Linked DNA regions of Nothobranchius furzeri. The protein of the gene in region 1 binds, or shares a complex with, the protein of each later gene. Links are inferred from orthologs where the notes say so. Each region holds a gene or a part of one and is shown on either strand. Other genes may lie near its edges.

Region 1 (4,012 bases):
GGGGGGGAAATGGATGCATGGATATTTTAATCTTGCTTCTGCCTGCATTATGAATATCAACCTTGTTCTATATTCATGGTTATATGATATTACTAATTTAGTTTTAGAAAATGAAAACGGAAAACCTAAAGACGTATCAATGGAACTCATGAACACACACACACACATGTCTGTCTTTCTATCATAGTGAGGACTTTCCATTGACTTCCATTCATTTTTGTGACTCCACTATGCCTAACCCATACCCATACCCTACCCATAACCAATGCTGAGCTATTGCTAACCCTATAACAACTTAATTCACACCATATCTCTAAAACCCGCTGGTAAGCTTTTTTAAAAAATGAGGACCAGAAAAATGTCCTCACTTATAGGGAAAATTGTGAAAATGGTGTTCAGTAATTCCCCTCAAGAAATCACATCACTCATGTTCTTAAAAACCTACACTGGTTGCCAATAGGATCATATGCAAGATCCTACTACTTACATTTAAATCTGCATGGCTCCACTTTATCTATGTAATTTACTAACTATTGCTACCACTTCCCGATCTCTTAGATCCTCATCTGCACTTCATCTGGTTCAACCTCGAGCTCGCCTTACCACCATGGGGAGCAGAGCTTTCAGTTGCTCTGCTCCACGGCTCTGGGACTCACTTCCCTCTGTCATTAGAAATACGGACCCTTTTCCATTATTCAAGGGGCACACCTGAAAACCCACTTATTCAAACAAGTTTATTCCCTTTAGACCTAGACTTTAGAATTGTTTCAAAATTGTATGTATCTTGTTTGTTTTTATTGCCCTATCTAACCTCTGTTGTTTTTTGTTTTTATCTTTGTAAGGTTACCTTGGGTTTGAGAAAGGCGCCCTCAAATAAAATGTATTATTATTATTATTATTATTATTATTATTATTATTATTATTCAGTATGTAGTAAGTACTAGAAAACACACACACACACACACACACACACACACACGTGCGCGCGCGCGCGCCGTTGGCGAAATGCATCCTCTAATTGCACAAACTCCTCTCCGCTAGAGAGCGGTAATTGAAAACACGGGGCAAAGTGGGGATCCTTCTCTGCAGTTAACAGGAGAAGAAGAAGAAGCTAACGGGAACTAGCAGGCTAATCTCCACAACGCTGTCGTGGTTTTGTGATTCCCTGTTTCAGTATTCGTGTTTTTTTTCCCTCACATATTTTTGTGTTTTATAACTTGGTAACCTAACTATACCCAAGTGACAAGCGCCCGACAAACACCGGTGGACACGGTTTACAGTAGCTCTGTATGAGCACTTCTGCTTTTCTCCCAGGATACTAGCGTATCACCAAGGCAGCTAAGTCGGCTAAAGGAGCCCAACAACAGCGCTGTCCGGATGCTTTGAACAGCAACGGAGCCGATTTTTGGTGGAGTTTTCAAAGCCGGTCTTGCGTGATGTCAAGCAACCGGCCGCAGTCAAACAGTGGCGGGGCAAGTTCGGTGCCTAGCACCAGCAGCAGTAGCGCAGGAGGCAGCGGGAGCACCACCGTAACAAGTAATGGTAACTCTTCTGGGAACGTTGTACCCTCCCGGGCTATAGCAGCCGGCGAGAGCGGCTTGTCTGTACCAACTCTGTCCGCCGTTTCGTCCCGGGGCGAGTTCTCTTCCCTCAGCAGACCATCTTCAACCTCGGGAAGCAGGAAGAGATCCCTCCATCCAACACCTTTATACAACGGCCTGTTGGATTCATACGAAGATAAAAGCAATGACTTTGTCTGGTGAGCTCTCTGTCAGCTAACCGAGACTGTGCTGTGAAAGCTGAGTTTCTGATTCATATTTGTCTTTTCTTTTAGCCCAATTTGCTTTGAAATGATAGAGGGGGCGCACATGACAAAGTGTGGCCACAGTTTCTGGTGAGTGTGGAGCTGCAGCTCGGGTTGAATTGAATGAAACACCTTAGAAACACTATTCACTCACAGATAGTGGCTGTTATTCATGTTGTTTACAGTTAGGAGTCCGTTTGAACGGCGAATCTACTAGTTTTTAGTTATTAAAACTAACATTTTACATTCGTTTTCGCAAAAACTGTTAGTAAGGTGATTCTAATGAAATGCCCATCAAATAGATGGAATAGGTCAGTTTAAAACTAAATGAATGCAATCCTTATTTAACAAGTAAAGATCCTTGAGATTTAAAATGCCGTCTGCCAGAGTTACCTGGCCCAGACAGGCAGCGGCAGGTGATTGAATGTTTAAAAAATGTTGAAAAACCAGTTTGAATTCTGTCAGTGAGACATATTCTTTCAGATTGAGTCAGTTTTGGAGCTAATTCCTATAATAAAGGGCAGAATGTTTGAGTAGCTTAAAGGGGAACAAGTCGTGTCCACACCTTTGGTTTGTTTGGGGGGATCTGAGTATAATCGGAGAAAACCAAGAGTATTTTTTGAAGTGAGAAAACAAATACAATTATCAGTTGTATTGGAAAGGTCAGATTTTTTGCGGCAGACACTAGAGGGTGAGTTTTTTTTCATTCCGTGATTTTTAGAACAGACTTGTGTTTATTTCTGTGTTAAATGCTCCCCTTTCCCCTGTTGCAGTTTCAAGTGTATTCACAGGAGCTTGGAGGTCAGCAACAAGTGTCCCAAGTGTAACTGTATTATTGACAATGTGGCTCAGCTGTACCCCAACTTTCTAGGTGGGTGTTTTAAGTTGGATGGTTGTTTTTACAGTCATCATTTTGAGAATTTAGCTAGTTTCGTTTTAAAATAGGGTTGGGCATCGACTGGAACCGGGACCAACTGTTAGCTTTTTTTGGAATCGTTCAAAGTTTTTATTTTGATTCCTAGTAAGCCGACCGGAAGATGACACCAACACTCGTGTGTGTGTGAGCGTCAGAAGGCTGAACAATAACCTGTAAAGTCATCGTGCTAGAGCAGCTTTCTCTGTGGTGGACCACACCAGCTTCTGCCACAATAAATAATAATAATAAATCACATACAAAGTTGTGAAATTTCCTTTCTGAACTATTTCTGTTGAGAGTTTTAATGTTTAAATCTGTTAGATTGTTACTGACAGCAGCTGCATTTAAGTTTCACTTTCTGTTGTGACTGAATGCTGCTGCAGCATGGAGGTGTAGTTCTCAGTCATCCTGGACATGATCATCCTGAGAGTTTTAGCTGAAAACAGTTGCACGTTTCTGGATATGTTGGAGACATTTAGCCTCTCATCCCAGAGGCTGCTTCCAGACTTTGGTTGTGGTCAGAAACAAACACACTGGTTGTGCTGCAAGTCTTTTTCTTTTTTTCTCCAAAACATGTTTTGGTCTAAATGAAGGTGATGCTGTTGTTCATAGAATTAAAATTCATGTTGAAGTTAAGATTGTTTCATCAAGTAGGACCTGTGGTTAGCTGGCTCATGTAAAGCATGTCATGTCTTGAAAGAATCGGAATCGGGAATCAATAGGAACCAGAATCGTTCAAAATCAAACGATGCCCAACTCTAAAAATGTGATCAAGTCGGTGTTATCCTGCTCAAAGAAGGAGCTTATGTTGTTTCTCCTTGTCGCCCTCACTCTGCCTCTGCTGCCGTTTCCCAGTAAATGAGCTGATTCTTAAACAGAAACAACGGTCAGAGGAGAAGAGACTGAAATTAGATCATCCGGTGAGTGGTTCACATTTTATTCCTGCTTTGTCTTTTCCTTCTTTGTGACTCTCAAACTTGCAGACTTGTTTGTTTTAGAAAAATCTGTTTCTTCCTGCTGATCATTGTTTTCGACCCCTAGAACGGGCCGCAGTGGCAGGTCTTTCAGGATATTTTGAATCCGGATCAGGAGAACCTGGACCTTGCAAATGTCAATCTGATGTTGGAACTTCTGGTTCAGAAGAAGAAGCAGCTGGAAGCGGTAAGTCATTTTGTGCGTGTCTGCGAAGATGATTGTAAGAGTCATTTGTAGCCCATTCCTCGTTACCCTTAGCTAAGCAAGGAAGTGTGTTCCGAGTATAGAATTGGCACATGTGGCTGCAGAAATAATGT
Region 2 (3,945 bases), on another chromosome or scaffold:
TTAGAACTAGCTCAGAAAAGAAAGAAAAGTTGAAATCAAATCTTAGTGTTTTTTCGTCCATGGAACATCTTTCAGGATGTAGTGACATCTAGTGGTAAATTTGCAGATTGCAGCCAACTTTGTCCCAAAGGTCGAACTTCTTTCGACGTGAAATTCAAGCTGAATTTTTGTGTGTGATCATTTAAAAACCTAAAAGTCATCTTCTGTGCTTTCTGCTGGTTGAATCAACATAAAAGCACAACGGTTCTCGCCTCCATAAAGAAAACATCAGATCGGCTCACCTTTTCTCATCTGCAAAGACAAACTTGCGCAGTTTGAGGTCACCCAGCACGATTCCCTTCTGGTGGCAGTGCGCCACAGCCTGAGCCACCTGGCGGAAGAGCCTGCAGGCGTGTCCCTCATCCAGCCGGCGACAGCTCTTCACCAAGGTGTGCATGTCCCCAAAGTCTTTGTCCAGGAAGATGTAGGCCTTGCGTTCACCAAGGATGATGTCCCGGATGCCAGCCACGTTTCTGTGAGCTGGTAGAAGCCCGTAGGCTCTGATCTTCTCCAGGTAGGCTGCCATGTCAAAGACCTAGCGGAGAGATCAGAGAGGAGGAAGGGGAGGTGTAGGGATGCAGAGTGGAAACATGAAGGAAGGAGGCAATAAGAGTCAGTCTTCCTATCATAGGAGGTAACAAGTGGGCAAATATAAATATATATTACATGTATGATTTTCAACGGCTGCTTTTTGCAAAAGTGTTTTGTTAAATGATTGAATTCATAATCAAAAAGGCCTCCAGGGATTTTGTTTTCATGCAAACCTAAACAGAATCTGGAGTATGGGGCACCAATTAGAAAATGTGACTGTTGGAATTCTGGCTTGTGAAAAGGAATTAACCTAAAAAAAAGTGGGTTTAGGAGTGATATGTGAAACAAAGTTTATAGGATTTACAGAAAGCAACAATTGTTTAAACAAAATTCTGCAGGTGTATATGAATTTGAGCACTGTTGTTGTATTTGATTCTAAATATTTAGATTTTTACATGAATATAAATATTTTGATTAGATTGTTGCTAATTAGATGGAACTTTATGTACTAAATGTAATTGTATTCTAAATGTTTGATTTGATTACTTATTTAGATTGGATTATAAATGTTTTGGTTAGAAACTTCAATGTTTAGAAGTAACTTTTCATATTCATTTTTGATTCTAAATATTTTGAATTCATTGCTTAAATTTTAGATTTTTATAATAAATATTTAGATTTTTGTCTTAAATATTTAGACATAACTTATATTTAGACAGGATTCTAAATATTCAGAATTGATTTCTTAATATTTAGATTTCATTGTAAATATTTAGAATTTAGCCTTAAAAATATAATGTTTCGATTTGATTGTAAATATTTTGCATTAATTGCTTAATATTTAGATTTTTATTCTAAATATTTAGATTTAGATATTCATATTTAATCGTGAATACTTATGACGGTCACCATTACTTGAAGCTAAATCAGGCTGGGATTTTTTTAATGCATTACGTCACCTGATGCCTCATACTGGTGCAGATATGAGTTTTTATCTGGATAGATTCTAATCTTGCATTATTATTATTCTGCTGAACATGTTGCATTTTACTGTCACGGCTTGGCAGTGACGTGTATGCAAATGAGCCGAGTTGAGAGACAGTGTGAATGCTGAGCATGGGAGACTGTTTCCACAACATGCAGAAAGGCGACGGCTGGTCTTGATTGCGTATTTAAAAGACTTCTGGTTATAAGGGGGGAAGCATTAAGAAACATTATTACGCAAAGGGAGCGTGAGGATGACATTTTGCTGAAAAGGTGAGCTAAATACGGATAGCGTGTCAGACGGACTGTTGAGCAACATCATTCATTCAAAGAAATTGCACAATGACCTGATTGCGCATACCTTGCACAGCAGCTCATCGCCAGTATCGGTGTTCATCGCACTGTGCATGCTCTCCCGGTCCGCGAGCGGCAGCAGGAGGAACGGACCTATCCTGGACGGTCCCTGGTGGTGGGGAGCCGGGTTGGCCGCGGGGTTGAGCGGGGACCCGGGTGACGTACCCAGGAGTCCCTGCGCGTCCCCCGCCTCAGCGCTCAGCCGGGCGCACTTGGCCGGCGGCTGGTCGTCCGAGTCCAGCCGCTTGTGCGCGACTCTCCGGGTGCAGGGTGCAGGACTGCTCCACGGCAAGTTCATCCTGAACGACCGGCTCGCCATGAAGATAAAATGATATAGATGTGAATAAAATCAAGCAAAAAGATGCGTCCCTTGGTGGTTAGAACCCACTCCGTCTCATAGCTGGCACAAATCAAACTTTACGCGTTGGCTGATAATCCAGACCGCGTCCTTCTTCTTCCTTTTGAGGTTTGGATCAGAAAAAAAATCCACAATCAAGGAGGGAAAAAAAAGAAAAGAGAGAGAGGGAGAGAAAGAGAAAGCGGGGGAGAGGAGGGGAGACCGCCTCACACTCAGAGAGAGGCTGAGAGTGAGAAGCTCCGGTGATGAGCTCTGAAACACTCCGCCCGACCAGTCCAGCCTCCTGATGACACAAGCGTTGAGCAATCCTGTAGCGGCACCGACTCCAGCTCACTGTGCGCGTGTCTGGTGACGCTAGATTTTACCTTTCAGAGAAATCAGGATGTTGAGAGTCTCAACATTCCTGCACTGAGCTCTGCGATTCCGCTGATACATAAACAAGAACGTGAACGCACCACCGGGAATGAGACCCGCCTCTCACACCTCATCACGTTTCAGACGATCATTAACAAACTCGGAATTTTCTGATCTTCAGCTCATGTTGCCATTTATCACCAGTTAGAGCAGCAAACAGGAGAACTTGTCTTCCTCTTGTGATTAGAATAAAAAGCTCCTGAAGAAGATGAATGTCATCTCACTTTCAACAGGGGTGCCCCTAAGTCAGGTCAGAGGGGGGCACCCCCCCCCCACTGCCCACCCCCAAATTGCCGTTAATTGATTAAAGATTGATTTTTAAATATTTTTTTGTGGAAAATTAAATTAAAAATGAGGAAATGAGCTTCGGTGAGGTGCAGCGTTCACAGTCGCTGGTCATTTCCTTAAGAACACTTGATGAACTGCTTGCTAACACAAATAGCTAAGCAGTCATCTTATCTTAATAATGTTTTAGATAAGTTCCAATCAGGCTTTCGTAAGATGCACTGTTCCACTGAAACAGCTCTGTTAAAGGTATCTAATGATGTACTGACTCTGGCCCATGTACTGTACTGGTTTTATTGGATTTGTCTTCAGCTTTTGACACGGTTGACCATAAAATTCTGTTACATCGACTACACAATGTCCTAGGAATTTCTGGTACGGTTCTGAAGTGGTTTTCTTCCTATTTAAATAACAGAACATTCTCTGTATGTGTAAACAAGATTAGGTCTGAAGTCACATTTTTGCTTCACGGTGTTCCCCAGGGCTCGGTCCTTGGCCCAGTTTTGTTCCTTTTATATATTTGCCCTCTTGGGGAGATTATTAAAAGCTTTACTAAAGTGTCCTACCATTTATATGCAGATGGCATTCAACTGTACTGCTCTTTCAAGGACACAGAGTTTAACAAGTTAGCTGATCTACTTGATTGCATTGAGCATATTAAGGACTAGCCAGTAACTGTCTTCAGTTGAACTCAAGCAAGACCGAAACACTGATCATTGCTCCTGAACAGAAAGTGCTTTTAATCAAACACCTCGGTTCCCTGAGCTCCTCAGTCCAGACCAGTCTCAGAAACCTTGGTGTTCTTCTTGACCAATCCATGTCTTTGAGCTGCCACTCAAAACGTTTAGTAAAAAACTGCTTTTTATCATTTGCGAAACATTTCCAAATTGAGAGCTTTTACTTCAAAATCGGACTTGGAGATGATTATCCATGCTTTTATTTCTTCTCGTTTATATTATTGTAATTCTATCTTTACTTGT

What was found.
Region 2: the proteins of cop1 (region 1) and trib1 are in contact, whole or in part, in a crystal structure (PDB 5IGQ), measured with the Homo sapiens proteins. The link is inferred for Nothobranchius furzeri from reciprocal best matches to the Homo sapiens genes COP1 and TRIB1. Residues at the interface, in NP_071902.2 of Homo sapiens: Ile423, Ser425, Val441, Lys472, Tyr491, Trp517, Asp534, Ala556, Asn557, Cys559, Ala576, Asp577, His578, Lys600, Ala601, Ser603, Thr618, Lys643, Asn644, Phe645, Phe699; in NP_079471.1 of Homo sapiens: Asp355, Gln356, Ile357, Val358, Pro359, Glu360, Tyr361.

Annotation. Positions count from the first base shown.
Region 1 is NC_091751.1:60,897,754-60,901,765, forward strand, and holds the start of cop1 (E3 ubiquitin-protein ligase COP1), read left to right. Parts: upstream 1-1,203; 5' UTR 1,204-1,436; coding exon 1,437-1,759; intron 1,760-1,834; coding exon 1,835-1,894; intron 1,895-2,577; coding exon 2,578-2,675; intron 2,676-3,575; coding exon 3,576-3,640; intron 3,641-3,761; coding exon 3,762-3,881; intron 3,882-4,012. UniProt on the Homo sapiens protein: E3 ubiquitin-protein ligase that mediates ubiquitination and subsequent proteasomal degradation of target proteins.
Region 2 is NC_091759.1:11,607-15,551, forward strand, and holds the start of trib1 (tribbles homolog 1), read right to left. Parts: upstream 2,810-3,945; 5' UTR 2,228-2,809; coding exon 1,916-2,227; intron 575-1,915; coding exon 282-574; intron 1-281. UniProt on the Homo sapiens protein: Adapter protein involved in protein degradation by interacting with COP1 ubiquitin ligase. The COP1-binding motif is masked by autoinhibitory interactions with the protein kinase domain.